Linked DNA regions of Caenorhabditis elegans. The protein of the gene in region 2 interacts with the protein of the main gene of each other region in a pairwise test. Each region holds a gene or a part of one and is shown on either strand. Other genes may lie near its edges.

What was found.
Region 1: the proteins of hlh-11 (region 2) and tax-6 interact in a two-hybrid assay, tested with the Caenorhabditis elegans proteins (one study listed by BioGRID).

Annotation. Positions count from the first base shown.
Region 1 is NC_003282.8:10,495,019-10,502,899, forward strand, and holds the start of tax-6 (Serine/threonine-protein phosphatase 2B catalytic subunit), read right to left. Parts: upstream 6,043-7,881; coding exon 6,003-6,042; intron 5,518-6,002; coding exon 5,428-5,517; intron 5,180-5,427; exon of another isoform or gene 4,901-5,179; intron 4,692-4,900; coding exon 4,591-4,691; intron 4,544-4,590; coding exon 4,058-4,543; intron 3,738-4,057; coding exon 3,598-3,737; intron 3,550-3,597; coding exon 3,472-3,549; intron 3,396-3,471; coding exon 3,301-3,395; intron 3,199-3,300; coding exon 3,073-3,198; intron 3,028-3,072; coding exon 2,950-3,027; intron 1,525-2,949; coding exon 1,516-1,524; intron 249-1,515; coding exon 164-248; intron 1-163. UniProt on the Caenorhabditis elegans protein: Calcium-dependent, calmodulin-stimulated protein phosphatase. Dephosphorylates arrd-17. Dephosphorylates daf-16 at 'Ser-319' which regulates daf-16 nuclear translocation. Dephosphorylates calcium permeable cation channel pkd-2 at 'Ser-534'.
Region 2 is NC_003281.10:9,620,400-9,627,066, reverse strand, and holds hlh-11 (Helix-loop-helix protein 11), read right to left. Parts: upstream 4,921-6,667; 5' UTR 4,865-4,920; intron 4,800-4,864; exon of another isoform or gene 4,657-4,799; intron 4,588-4,656; 5' UTR 4,570-4,587; coding exon 4,520-4,569; intron 3,567-4,519; coding exon 3,291-3,566; intron 3,243-3,290; coding exon of another isoform or gene 3,238-3,242; coding exon 3,014-3,237; intron 2,797-3,013; coding exon 2,377-2,796; intron 2,128-2,376; coding exon 1,932-2,127; intron 1,743-1,931; exon of another isoform or gene 1,594-1,742; intron 1,284-1,593; coding exon 1,154-1,283; 3' UTR 539-1,153; downstream 1-538. Other genes in the region: tbg-1 (Tubulin gamma chain), read left to right, coding at 76-390. UniProt on the Caenorhabditis elegans protein: Transcriptional regulator. Component of a feedback loop involving atfs-1, atgl-1 and hlh-11.

The sequences.
Region 1 (7,881 bases), on a different chromosome or scaffold from region 2:
CTTTAAGTATGTTGTTTTTTTATAGAAACATTAAATTAAGATATATGTTATCAAAAATAAATAAAAGTTAACTAAAAAAAATGCTCATTCTATAATAGAAAAAAACTTTCTATTTAAATTCATACAAATTCGGTTTAAAATTGAAAAAAATTAATCAACTTACCGAAGAACTGAGAATGCTCTTGCCATCTTTCCAATTGCTCGAATCTTGTGTCGAATAACCTCTTTTCTTGCAGACCCCACTCCACCTGAAAAATTAATTTTTAAAAAAGAACCGTCAACATTTACAAATGACATGGCAACAACTTCAAAAGGGGTGACACCATTCACTGGCAACCACATTACCAATCAATAGAAATCCCCGAATGAAGTTAGAAAAATGTCAAAAATAAAATGAAAGCCATGTACATATATATTGGCTAATAGGTGAAAAATTACTACTTGTAAATAGTGTGAATATGGGGAGGGCAAAGGGGGTAAAAATTTGGGATTTTGCAATGTGCCAACCGTCACCGAAAATGATAGAGGTTGAGTTAGAGGAAACGGGTCCCATTGGGATTTGAAGGGATTACGGTAGTTTTTGTTGTAAATAGTTTTAAAGAAGTTTTATGCTCTTGGAAAAGAAAATTTATTTGTCTAGTTAATTTAACTACAATTTTTTATACAAAAAACTAAACTTGTTCGATTGTTAACATTTTCTTATTTCGTTCCAAGATTATGTTCCGTAAGAATAGCCAAAAAACTCATAGTTTAAAAAATCTTCTTGTCGAGTAAACATCAATTCTACTTTTACAATTTCATAATAATTTTTCAAATATACCGTAATATACTAATAAAATATAAAGTAACCTTTTTGAGAAAATATTATGTATAGAAAAAATATACACTTCAAGGTCTTTTCTCACAGGTTTGGGGAAATTTCCACTTTCTCATTTCTTATACCGTACCCCTAAAAATCCCAATAAAGACACCCATTTCTTCCAATTAGTAACTAATTTTTAGGGTGGGGAATCAAAACCAAGTGAGAGAATTTTGAATTTTAGACTGCTCGAATTCTTTCATTTTCTTCGATTTTTTGACTTTCTATTTTTTTTCAATGTTTAAAATTGGAATTTTCAGAATTTTTGAAAAGAGACCAAAACACAGGAGAAGACCAGGTTGGAAATCCGACATAAAACATGCAAAACACAAGGCGTTAAAAGTTTAGCAGCACACAGCCAAATGAAACAACTAAAACAATTATAATTAGAAAAAAGCAACGTATTTTTTTTTAGAAAAACGGAACAAAAAAGATAAGCAGAGCAGCCACATAAAAGTCAAATAAATAGAAAGCCGTATTCAGAGAGAAAAATAAAACAAACTAAGAAATGGTGTATAAGCGCCAAACGCCCGAGGTGGGTGTTGTTTAGGGTGTTCCGAAGAAAGTTTGGTAAAAAATTAAAGAAAAAATAAAACTAAATCTGATAGTCAAACATACGTCACCAGTGTGTGGTGGGTAGGGGAATATCCACTTACCATCTGCTCCTTAAAATTTTGATTAGACTTTTTCATTATTTTTTTGTAGCTAGTTTTGAGATTAATGTTTAGATCTTTACTGAGATTTTAACATTTAACTTTTTTAAAGGCGCGTGCGGTTAAGGAAAAAACGGACGGCTTGAAAACACAGTTTCTGACAAATTTGTCAAAATTTTATTGGATTTTCAGAACAAGTTCAAGCCTGCAACACTGGGAAAAGGTAACAAGTTTACCGACATTTCAAGGTTTTAGAACAATAGACAAAAATTAAGGGATGATGATATTCTTACGATGGCATGGTACTTCTGTCATTCAATTCTATTGACAAAATGTCTTCCAAGCCAAACATGGCTCCGGCAAATGAGCTCAAAATTTCTACAAGTAGTGCTCTGCTATGCTCAAGGTCAACAATACATGCGTTTTTTTCTCAATCGACATCATGGTTTGTGTACTAGTGACTAGCATTTCTACATCGTTCGAAAAACTATATTTCAATTTGAAGTGTGAAATCCTACAAAAAATTAAACCTACAAAGTGGCGCTAATCTTTTGAATACTGTACACATAGGGAGCGTATGACTGCTGAGAAATGCTAATTCAGATGAGTACAATAGTTACAGTTTTGAACTGAAGTAATCAATCATGTCAAACTGAAAAAGAGAACACCTATATATTTCAGTCATTCTCAGTCAGAGCACACACGCACACTCACACAGAAATATCAATTCTCATGCCAATACCTTTTTTCGTTTTTCCTTTTCTTTCTCATGGTTTCTTTTTCAGAGAGCTCAATCAAAAAAAGAGTAGCACAACATTCAAACAATGACCAAATATTCAAAAAAAGGGAGAAAAGAAGGAAAGAAAAAGGAAAAAAGAGAAGGAAAGGAAAAGGCAAGAAACTAGAGAGAAAAGAAGTAGAAGAGAGACAGAGAGAGAGAACCGTACCGGACACACAACACCGATTTTTGTGCATTTTTTGAGGTTTTTGAAGGAAAATTGGAAATATTCCTATTTCCCTTTCAAACTCTCAGTGCCTTATTAATTTTCAAACAGTCTCTCTTCTTCTTCTCCTCTCCTTAGTTTATATCACAGTAGGAGAAAAGAGTGATATGAGGTGAATAGGAACAATTTTCTGTTCTTGTTAAGATATACATTTACAAATATATATATAAATTAATCGAGCAAAAAACACATGTATTCCATCTCTTGGGGAGAACGTTTCAATGCGGCTTTTCATTTGCCAATTTGAGCCGAGCACAAGACAAAATCATTGAAAGTGTATAGAGACAAAATTGGCGGTAGAAGATTATTTTAATTTAAAAAAATTATATATACATAAATATTTTTTGTTGTGAAATAATTCATATTAAAGTGACCTAGTTTTTTACGCAGTAGGACCTCCTTTGAGGGAGCCAGTGCTTAATCATGAACATACCTTCAAAGGTGTCATCGCATTCAGCCATCAGCTCGTCGTCAGAACAAATGTTGAGAATGTGAACCAGCATCTCCGTTACTAAAAGGAAATCTCATTTGGTTTTCGACATATTTCTTGCTATACCTTTTTCTCCCACAAACGGCAATGACCACGTGAACACATCCATAAAGTTCGGCAGCCAATATGGATGAGGACTGCAGTTGAATTGACGAATATTCATCACATTGTTCTCGTACTTCAGGATGGCAGCTGAAAATTGTTAAGTTGTTTAATGTTTAATGTTTAATTTTCCGAATTTTGTTTTCTTTTTGTTTCTCCGTCAAAAAATGCCATTCCCATATTTCCTCTCACCTTTGTTGTTGTAGACATCCAAATAATTTGGAGCACTGAAGATGGTGATCAACGATGGGAAGCCTGTGGCTTGAGATTTGCGATACATGCGGTATCTGGAAAATAGAGTAGAATTAGAAAAGAGGATTAAGGTTCTCTTTTCGCATCTCCTGGCGACGGATAAGCTCTTACCCGGCATCTTGAGCTTCATGTGCGCGAATGATGGAGAGCAGATTGTTGTGTTGCAGGAAATCACAGCATGCAGCGTAGCTATAATATTTCGTTCTATTAAAATGAAGATTATAGTGAATGGGATACCTGTAAAAGTATGAGCACCCTCTAACCGAATTGTGACTAAATTGTTCTGAATTCCTTTCGTTTCCGAAATCTTCAAGTGGGTCTGACCAGAGAAGATCACACATTGGACCAAATGCTGGGGGCTCCTTGAATCTGTCTATCTGAAAGTCAACAAATTAAATAGACATTTAAGATATGGTCGTAATTTCGGATTAAAGTTAAACAGTACTTTAAAACATATAAAACAAACATATACCGTAAATTTTCTCTCAGTATTGCACCTAACTATTTCACTTTAAAAACTTCACTCGGTTCATGATACATATCAAAGAAATTAATTGAAAATATATTGAAAAAGAACTAACAAATATTTTGTTAATTGAGAATTTTTTGATAGAACAAACGACAACGGGTACCGTACTAATAGAGAAATACGGTATTTTTCAAAATATTAGTTTTAGATCTCATGTTTTTCACTAACCCTCCTGATATCCTCCAAAGTATGGATTTCTGGGGACAATCCACCATGAACACAAAGGAATTGTTGGTTCATGAGAGCTGCCAACGGTAGAGCATCAAATGACTCCATGCACACATCGTATACCCGTTCAGAGTACTTGATCTTGCATTCTTGTTTGAATGTAAAGTACTCTGTCAAATGACGGCATTCATGGTTTCCTCGAAGCAAGAACAACGTGGTCGGATAGCAGATTTTGAGTGCCCACAGATACAGGACACATTCAATCGAGAAGTATCCTCGATCCACGTAGTCACCCAAAAATAGATACTTGGTAGTTGCGGGCGATCCGCCAACTTCGAATAGTTTCATGAGATCGTAGAATTGACCATGAATGTCTCCGCATACAGTAACCGGCGCCTCGATTTCCAACATCGTTTTTTCGTTGCGGAACAGGCTTGAGCATTCTTGAATCACACGAATCGCGGCTTCTTCTTCTATCCTTCCTTCCTGCAAAATTGTTGATTTGATTATATTCTTAAAAATCTATTCCACACCTTAATAAAATGATCTCGAAGAACTTCATGCCTTGGTTTTCCAGTCCGCCGGTCGTAGACCTGATCAACGGTAAGGCGTTCGGAAACAGGAAATTGAACGGCTGAAAAATGAGAAATTAGAAAAAATATAATGTTTTCATTATTCCATTTTACTTCCGAATTCCTTCATCTTTCTATTCCCTTCTTCTATTTTTTTTTCAATTCTTCTCAAATTCCATGCTCTTCTCACGCTCATCTTCCCCACATGGCGCCCGAGCCGCCGCCGCCCTCCTAAATTACTATGGGAACCCTCTCAAGCGTTTCGGGATTAATTTTCGATTTCAAGCTACAGCAGTCACTCACTCCCCTTCCTTCCCGTCTTCTCTCACACACACGACGACGCCAATGACGGCGACTTCGTCAGAATCTTTTCGAATAGAAAAAGAGAATGACGGAGAGAGAATCAGAGAGAATAAGAACTCTCTATCTCTCGATATATTTTCTATGTGCCTGGTGAGCCGACGCGGAGCCATTGGTGAGCTCCTCAGAGCAACGGACCCGCGTGAGTCAGACAGTGAGAGTTTGCGCTGAGAATAGACGAGAAGAAACTCTCTGCGGCTCTGCAGCTCACGACGACAACGGGACAAGCAAAAAAAAAAATTCTCTGCGCGTATAATTTCTGGCTTCTTCAATGTGTGTGTGCCAATGTGAGGGTGGATGGGGGTGGTTGTGGTGTGCTGCGCAAAAAAAAAGAGAAAAAAAGAGCATGGCGCTTTTCTCCGTAACCTGAAGCAAGAAACACTTTAATTGGTTTTTCTTTTTCAAACTGCCGCCCGACTGCAGAAGCCAAATACTTACTCTTGACAAATCGTTCGGTGAACTGCTTCAAATCACGTTCGCGTTCACGATTGTTGTTCGAGGCGGTGGTGGTAGTGTTGGTAGTGTCAGCTGAAAAAATGGTTCTTTTCATGCATTCCAGATGAGATCCATTTTTCTTTCGCTAGATTTTTTCGGATAGAGACACCTAGAAAAAGGATGAAGCCCCCGACGACTGCGTGTGTGATGATGCACAACAACACTACAAATTCGATTTGTGTCTCTATTTCCTTCTAAAATCATTTTTCGAGGGGGCAAAAGGAGATAGAGGGAAAACAACAACTAATTTTTCGATAACATTTAAAGGTATGTAACGTGAAACGGAAACCAAACTTCAAAATAAATTGATTTGAAAAAATATTGTTCTTTTCCCGTATTTTCCCAATCAAAGAAAATGAAAATTCTAGTTCCTACTAAAATTGAAAATGGACTATTTAACTTTTTGAAATTTATTCAAAAAATGCTCAATGTTTGCTGATTTTAGCGATAGTCTTAAATTGCAAAAAATAAGAATAAAAACAATGGTAGTTTCAGACGAGGATTCAGTAAATACTTACGTTTAGCTGCAGAGTTCTGTCCTGCCGATGTCGAGGCCATTGTGTGTGTTTATATATTTAAAATTGATGATGACTTTTCCTTTTATCGACTGATTTTTTGTTTCACCTGCAATTCAAAATTGTAAGAAAGTGAGGGAAACTCTGGAAATGGTGTGGAGTTGCGCGGAGCCGAGTATCTTGGGGCAGCTGACTTGTATTCTTGAGCTCCTTTTTTTCCTTTTTTCTTCATTTCTCTTCTAGTCTCTCACGCGGCTCTCCTTCTCTCGCGGACACCATGGCGATTCAATTTTTATGACTTTTATGAGAGAGAGGCCAATACCTCATATATTTTCCTTTTTCGGCGCGCGGCGCCACTGACGGATCGGATGTATTTTGTTGGAAAATGAAAACGAACCCTTTTTGTTCAAAAAAATGAGTGAATGAGCTACTCTGGTTTGGTATGAACCCGTAGATGAAGCGGGGAAACGGCTATGTGTGGAGATGATGTAGCTTTGCGAAACAGTACGATACCCTCCTTCGGACCGTTTCACGTCACTTCTCTTCACACCACGGCACGACGGATCGATCTTTCACAGGCCTGCAATCAACATTTTGGTCAATTTTTGTCATACGGAGAGAAAAAGTTCAACATTTACGAATTAAATAACGATTATGAAAGAATAACGTCCCCGAAAAATAAGATGTTCCAATGCAAAGCTTTCCGTTCAATTTAACAAATTGATAGTTAAAAATTTAAATTCAATAAGAAAAAGAAAAGAAGCTTGACCAATCGAATAATTCAGATTGAAGGGAAAACTAGTTGTGCATGCCAAAAGGCGACAACAATGGGCGGGGTTCCTTTGGAAAAGACGAAGAAAAGGAACAATTGAGAATTGGAAGGAGAATCAAGAGAAATTTATTTGAGAAACATTACAACCAATTTATTAGCGAATTTTCTTAAAGCTAAAATGTCATCAAAATATGATTTACATCATTGAGAGAGCAACTATATAATTATTCTAGAGAACAAATTTATTCCGAACGTTTCTTCAAAAATATCTTAAACATCATTCATTTTTGACAACTTTATCAGGAAATTCAGCATCATCTTCAAAAAAAAAACAGTCAATACCACACTTTATTTTTTATTTCGCGAATTATTCAATTCTGACAGTTTCTCTGTCGTTTTGTCAACTGACAAAATAATTGTTCTGTTTCTATCGTTTTATGTATACTAGGTAGTGCAATACAAATAAAAAAAACGATATCAGTTGTAGTACTGTACAACTCTAAGTGTTTGTATTTAAAAATAGAACTTTCAAACAATTTTATAAGTTGAAAATGTCTTCTTCCTAGGAGCGATGTCATTTTCTAACTACTGTTCAACTCATGCTATGTATTGATTAAATCATTTATGAGCAGAACCAAAAACCCACATGACTTTGAAAAAGGGAAAGATCAAAAGTAATGGGCGGTGTGTGTTATCGATAAAAAACCTTTTTTCCCTCTGCGTGAGAGAGATGCTCTTTTTCTCTGCTTCTCTCTATCGATAAGGCACAATGAAAAATGAAAAGAAGCAGCACGGAAATTGGGTAAACATATGTAGCGATGCGACAGAAACGGAGAAAATTAGAGAAATAGACAGTTTCAGTTAAAGCACGTTTCAAATGTTGTCTAAAAATTATAGGTGGAAAATTTAGCAAAACCAGGCTTTCTACTCTCAAAATAAACACAAAAAAAAACAAATTTCAGACAAAAAGAAAAAGTAAAAAAAATCGGAAACTCTATGTATTGTAAAAACAGAACATGAAAATTCTCTAAACGACATAATAGTTCCATTCTTAAATTTTTAGTCATCACTAAGAAAGGCTTGTTGTTGTTGTTTATTCCTTCCAAAAAG
Region 2 (6,667 bases):
GATTAATAATGACTTTTTTTCGTTATTTTTCTATAATCCACCTTAAAGCATCAAATCAATAAAATCAAATTTCAGTTCGCAATCAGAAGGCCTCCATTCTACATGCTTAAACCACTTCGAATGATGCATGCTCCACTCTCTCCATATGTTCGGCCACAATACAAAGTATCTGGACTCTTGCTCAATAACAGCACAAGCGTGGCTCCGTTATTCGAATCGCTTCTCTCCAAATACGACAAACTACGATCAAAGAGAGCCTTCATCGACAAGTTTGAAAAGATTGACAATTTCTCGCTGGATATGATGGACGATGCAATGCACATTGTGCAAGACTTGCTGGACGAGTACAAGGCGGTCGTACAAAAGGACTATCTGACAAGAGGGCTTTAGATTTATTATTATTTATTCTCGCGGGATTCTCATTCACTTCTTAAAACGGATCTCTGTCGATTATCATATGCTGTGTTTATTGTATTATTTATATCATGTGCTCCTCATCATCATCATAATTTTCACATAAATATTGGTACTCTTGTCTCAGTGGTTGTACTATTGAGGTTTATTTAAATTATTTAGTTATGATTATTGCGCGATAGCAATAGAGAGACATATTGAGGTCTGAAAATGAAAGTGTTTCAAGCTGCACATACGGTCAACAAAACCACCGGGTGAAAAATGAAAAAAAGAGGAAATCGACACGATTTGTGTAAAAGTAACGGGGCAGTGTCTGGAGATGAACAAGACTGGAAAAAAAGGAAAATGAAAAAACAAAAAGTTATCGGTGGGGAGAACGAAACAATGGATAGGTCCGTGAGAGCGCGGGAAATAAGGAAGCTAGATTGATTAGAAGAAAAATGACAAGAAGACCACAATCGGCACAAAAAATTTTGGAAAAAAACATTTCATAGAAACACAACAAGTAGTATACCTAAAACAAGAAGAAAAATGGGAAAAGAACAAAAATTCATCAAATTTTGTGATAAAAATGATAGATACTGTGCCTGGTGAGAGAGAGAAAAAAGATGAAGAGCAAAAAACAGGATCAACCTGAAGAAAGAAAGAGAGAAAAAGAGAAAGAGAGAGAGATTATGAAACGTGGAAAATTTGATAATTGTATTTGTAATTGTAACTCTACATTTGTCAAAAGTCAGGCTCAACGGACGAGCGATGTCTGTGAGGTTGGTGGAGGAGATGTTGGAATGAAATGACTTCCCTCCAAATGACGAATAGCTTCAACAATTGTTTGCATTGATTGAGACAGGGTCAGGCTCGGTTGTGTGCTTCTGGAATTGATGGCAACATATTAATTTTTTTAAAAATTCGAAAAGTTTGCTCGAGAACTATTATGCAGACGTAGAAAATCTCCGCCCTCCATAGCTGGGTCTCGTTAGGTATTTGGCGGCAAATCCGTGAATTCAAACGTTTGTCATTAAATAATTGTACCAATTTTCAGGAGTTTTTCGTCGTTTTTCGTCTTTCGTTGTTTTTATTGGAAAAATGGTTGTTTTTATTGGAAAGTTTTTTTAAAATCAATTTGGCATACGTACCCAGAAAGACGCAAAATGTTCAAACATTGGCGAAACTAATAGAAAAAGTTTGAATTACTGGTTTGGCCCCCCAATACCTAACGAGACCCAGCTGTTGGGGGCGGTCCTCGATTTTACAAGGGGGATTTTTCTACGACCTCATAATAGCAATATTGCAACCTACAGTAACCACAACATTTTTTTTGACTGTATAGAGTATATTATAAAAAAGATTTAATTGAAATTTAATAATCAGCATAAAATAAATTTAAAAATTAAATTTATAACGAAGATTTGAATTCAGAAATTGAATTTTGAAAGTAGATCATTCCACATACAGCCTTCTTCTCTCAAAACAGAAAACTGAATTCATAATTTTTCCCCCATAAAATATACAGAACTCACACAAACGCAGAATTATGTCCCTGCAGATGATGTGGCAATGCGACGGGTGTCGAGTTACCGGTAGACATGGCCGAGGTGACCGCTGCCGCCGCTGTTTGGAACAAAATACTCGATTGAGTTGGAACTGCTGTTGAGAAGATTATTGGAGCGGCAGTCAAAGGTGATGGAGTTGACAGAGATGGTGATGATATTTCAACTTAAATGTTTATATATATTTATAGTCAAAAAGTTTTATTTGAATATTCCAGGGCTTCAAAAAATGCTACCATGCATTAGGCCTTAATACTCTAAATTTCCCAAAAGACCAAATTTTCCAAAAAAAAAATTTGGTAATTTACCAAAATATTGCCTGGAAATTTTGAAACATCTCAAACGTTTCATAGTGTTTTGTTTGGACATTCAATCTTTTTGAAACTAATTTTGAATATATCTTTCCAAAAATTACCTGATATTGGTGGTAGTGGTGTAGGACGGATAACAGTTGTCTCTAAACTTGGCAATGTTGGAGGCGGATGGAATATACGTTGAGACGCCAATGATTCAGAAGAAGTTGGACTACCGTTCAGTGTCAAAAGAGACAACGGAGTACTTGTTGTATCTTGAAATGATGGTTTCCTTTCCGGTGATTCTCGTAACGGAGTAGGAAGAGCCGATGAAGCATATGAAGATGGCAATGTGAAACCACCAGAACCATTAGATCTTGGTGTCACTGGTGACGATGCTTGCGATGATGTTGTCGTCATTTGGAGCAGCTCACGGAGCTGAATTACTTGACTCTCCAAAGCCTTACGGGCGGCTCGTTCAGTTTCTAATATTGTTTGGAGATGTGCTATTTGCGCTTGATGGTCAGCGTCGTGGTGATCTTCTGAAACAAAATTTAATTTGAACAGCTTATATTAATTTCAAGTTTGAACTGATTTAGGGTAGGCACGATTCAGTAAGATTTAGACTTCTTCAGGCCATTCTAGGCTGGAATTATTTTGTGGAATTTCAGAATTTCAGATTATCCAGATTTTTGTTGAAACACAGTTTCCATTCATCCTACTCCACTTTTCAAAAATATCAATAAGATATAAACTTACCTTCAAGTTTGAGTTTTTTGGGTTCTCCACCGTCAGGTATATCTTCTCCTTTGTGTCCCAAAAGTTGATGAACCATATCCGCAGTTTGCTGCAGAATAGCCGCCTTCGACAGCTTTTCTCCCTCTTTTCTGGGAAGTAAGGCTCTTAGAGCCAAGAATCCCGCATTGATGCTCTGCATCCGCCGCCGCTCGTTGCAATTGGCAATTTGCCGACGCATTCTGGATCTATACTATATAAAGTTACAGTACTCACCACCTTTCAGTGCTATAAAACTAACCTTCTGTCGGGGTCGAGCGACGTTGGTGAAAGTGGCGCCGGTTGGGATAGTGACCGGTTGGCGAGCATTGGTGCATGCCCAATCGTCGAGGTAGGCAAGACAGAACGCAACGAATTCTGCATTCCAGAAGCCGTCAAATCAAATGCCGAAGCAGCTGACATGATGGATGGTGGTGCCATTCGTGCATTTGTCACGGAATTCCAGTCGGCGATAGTCACGGGCAATGCACCTGTACCCGAACTCATCATCTCCTCGTCCTCTTCAGTTAGATCAAATCTGCAAAAATGTGTTCGTAGATGAGGTTGTTCAAGAAGCGAAATTTATCAAATAATTTGGGGCCAATTAACTTCAACTTTCCAATTAATGCCTTCTCAAGACGCAAGCTTTTTCGTGAATATCTTCATATTTTTCTATTCTACAACTACAGTACAGTACTCCTTTGAGGATAGAGAAAAAACATATTTTTTAAAAATTGGAAATTCACAAAGTCGTTTTAAATTATTATAAATGCATTTTAAAAAAAAATTCCAAAAGTGATAAAACACATTTTAGACCTTAAATTTGAACTTTGCCGACAATGGGTAACATTTGAACTAATATTAAAATAACTCTAGCTTTAGTTGTTCTGATTTTTATATTGATCTTTTCATCTACAATTAGAACCTATCAATTCAATAAATGCCACGATTCCACAAAAAAAAAGAAAGAAAATGGGATAAATTAGCTTCAATTTAACATCTCAATATTTCTGTTCCAAAAATTATGAGAAATTATTAGTACAAATTGCCACATGCAGTTTTAGAATTGAGGAAAAGTTCATCTGCGTCTCTATATTGTGTTTTTCTCTAAAAGCCAGGTGTTCTTGTTGCGTGTCACTGAGAACGAATTGAAAGCCATGGGAAATTATTTGAATTTTATTTATTGAAAAGTTACTGTAGACTTAACACTTCACTTGGAAACTTGATAGGTTTAGAGGGAGCAAAAAAAGTTTATTTTCGAATTATTTTCAGATTTTAATACTTTCATCAAATGAGAGTCTGATCCTGGATATATATATATATATAGTAGGCAGGCACGTCTTCAGACCGCCTGCCTAGTCGCCTAGAAGGCGGGAATTCAACCATATTATGATTATAAGCAAAACTCGGCTTAGACTTATGTCAATACATTACTTTTCGAATGTTTCTTCTTAAAACCATGAGCAAAAAATGTAGTACAAAAATCCTTACCCATCATCAATGATGATTTGATCTTCTTCTGCGCTATCCGAACGAACCATTTTCTACTATTGATCTACCTGAAAAAAATTTTCTTTTTTGATTTTTGAGGTTCTCGAATTGAAATTCTATTTGTTCCTTATTCTCTCTTTTTCCGACAAAAGTTTCCCGAAACCCGTAACTCTTATCACCTTTCCCCCACTATGTTGGCTGACTGGCTGACATGCCATTTTCTTTGTAGAATCAAAGAAGATAGGCTCTTTTCCCAGCTGAAAATCTTTGTGATAAGCAACACTTGGGGGCAAAGATAACAATGATTATACCACGAATTATTTGAAATAAGAAATAAATACTTACTGTTAGTACTACGGAGACTACGAAGGGACGATGGGAGCCGTCTGGATTACCTGAAACTTTACAAAATTGGAATTATTTGCGACAAAAAACCAACAGCTGATGCTTCACGAAAATTCTTGAAGGGGAAAGATCGAAAAAAAAAAGAGTTTGTCAGTGTGTCATATGGCATGTTTTACACAGACACATGAGGGGAAAGAGGAAGCAATCGAGGGTCGAAACACACCGACTTATAATTCAAAATCGGGCAGTTCGTCTATTTCATACGGTAGGTACCAATGTATATGTAAATTAAATGAAAAAGGCGTGAGGAAGAGGGCAGTTTCAGTGTAGCAGATGAAATAGGTTTTAAATGTATAGAAAATAGAAAAACTGAAGGGTTTATAATTGAAAAAATGAGAGGGAAAGAACAGGTGATCCATTTTCAGGTGTTTAATGCAACAACTTTTACTTAAAATGTTTCATGATACTAATTTGAATGATCAGAGTTTGGGAGTAATCGAAACATCAGAACATTGCCAAAATTGGAATTAGAAACCGAAAGTTTCTTGTAATGAAATTATTTTTAACTGACGATGAGCTTATCTCGTGAAGCCGACAGAGTCCATGTTTTAATAACAATCAGTTCTCTATAAATTTGCAGAATCACAAAACGTCTTTCAAAAGTTACAAACGGACTTGCTCAGATTCTCTCTTGATAAAATATGAAGAACCAAGAATAAATCGGTCTTAAAAAAAAAAAAAGAAAGAAAAAAAAAAGAATTTAAGGCTAGATTTCAAGATTTCACCCCAAGAAATGAAATATGAGCTCTTGATGTTTTGATCTTTCTACTTTCTTAAAAAACCGAGAAAAAATGTTGATTAGCGATTTATCGGAGAAACGAGAGAGCGATGAACACACAAACTGATTCTCAAACGGAATGGAGAAGACAAAACAGAAAAAAATATCAACAAAAAATTGGTTCCAACTTCCTTGAGCTTATAGACGATAGCCAATTGCACTTACCATATGTTTTTTACAATGAGGGCTCCCTGGAACCCATTGACAAGTCAACAAAAAGCAGTTGACCAGTTAGTTTAAGAATTCTTGGTAATTACGAAAAGTTAGTTACTTCTCACATAATAATCATAAAACTAAAAAAGAAACAAAAGTTTGATCAGCTGTAGTGTGCAAGTGTACGGGATGATCTAGTTGGTCAAGTTTGGCATTTATGGGAGAACAGCTGGGCACATAGAGCAACACGCAAAGTATCTAAAGTTAGAAAACATTTGGTAGTAGATTTATGAAATACTTAATAGAACATAGGTTAATAGAGTCTAATCGTGAAAATATTGGAGATTTCAGAGGAAGATTTCTCAATTTTTGGAGGCAATTTCCTGCCTAAATTTTTGTGTATAACATACATATAAAGTTCGTCCATAGTTTTGGCAAAACTTCGGAAAAACTTGGTCAAGATTTAGTTGAAACCGCGTTAAAGGTTGGGAACAATTTTTCATAGTCATACTCACTATAGTTCTTATAAGATCACAAAACATCACCAAAATCGGCAAAGAGATCAGTTCAAAGGCGTAGTAAAAGAGAAAGACACTGAACAAAACGACATCGAGAACTATTCGGACGGTAATGATCTGTTATCATTCAAAATAAAGGTTAAGGGATTTTGTTGCGATCTTCCCCATCAACCGATCCAAGAAACATTTTCTGAAGGGATCCTGAGAATTAGAGACAGATGGATGGATGGGGAAAACACCTGATGGCGCGGCCCCCAGTTTTGTTGGTTGGGGTCACAAACAGCTGTGAGTGGA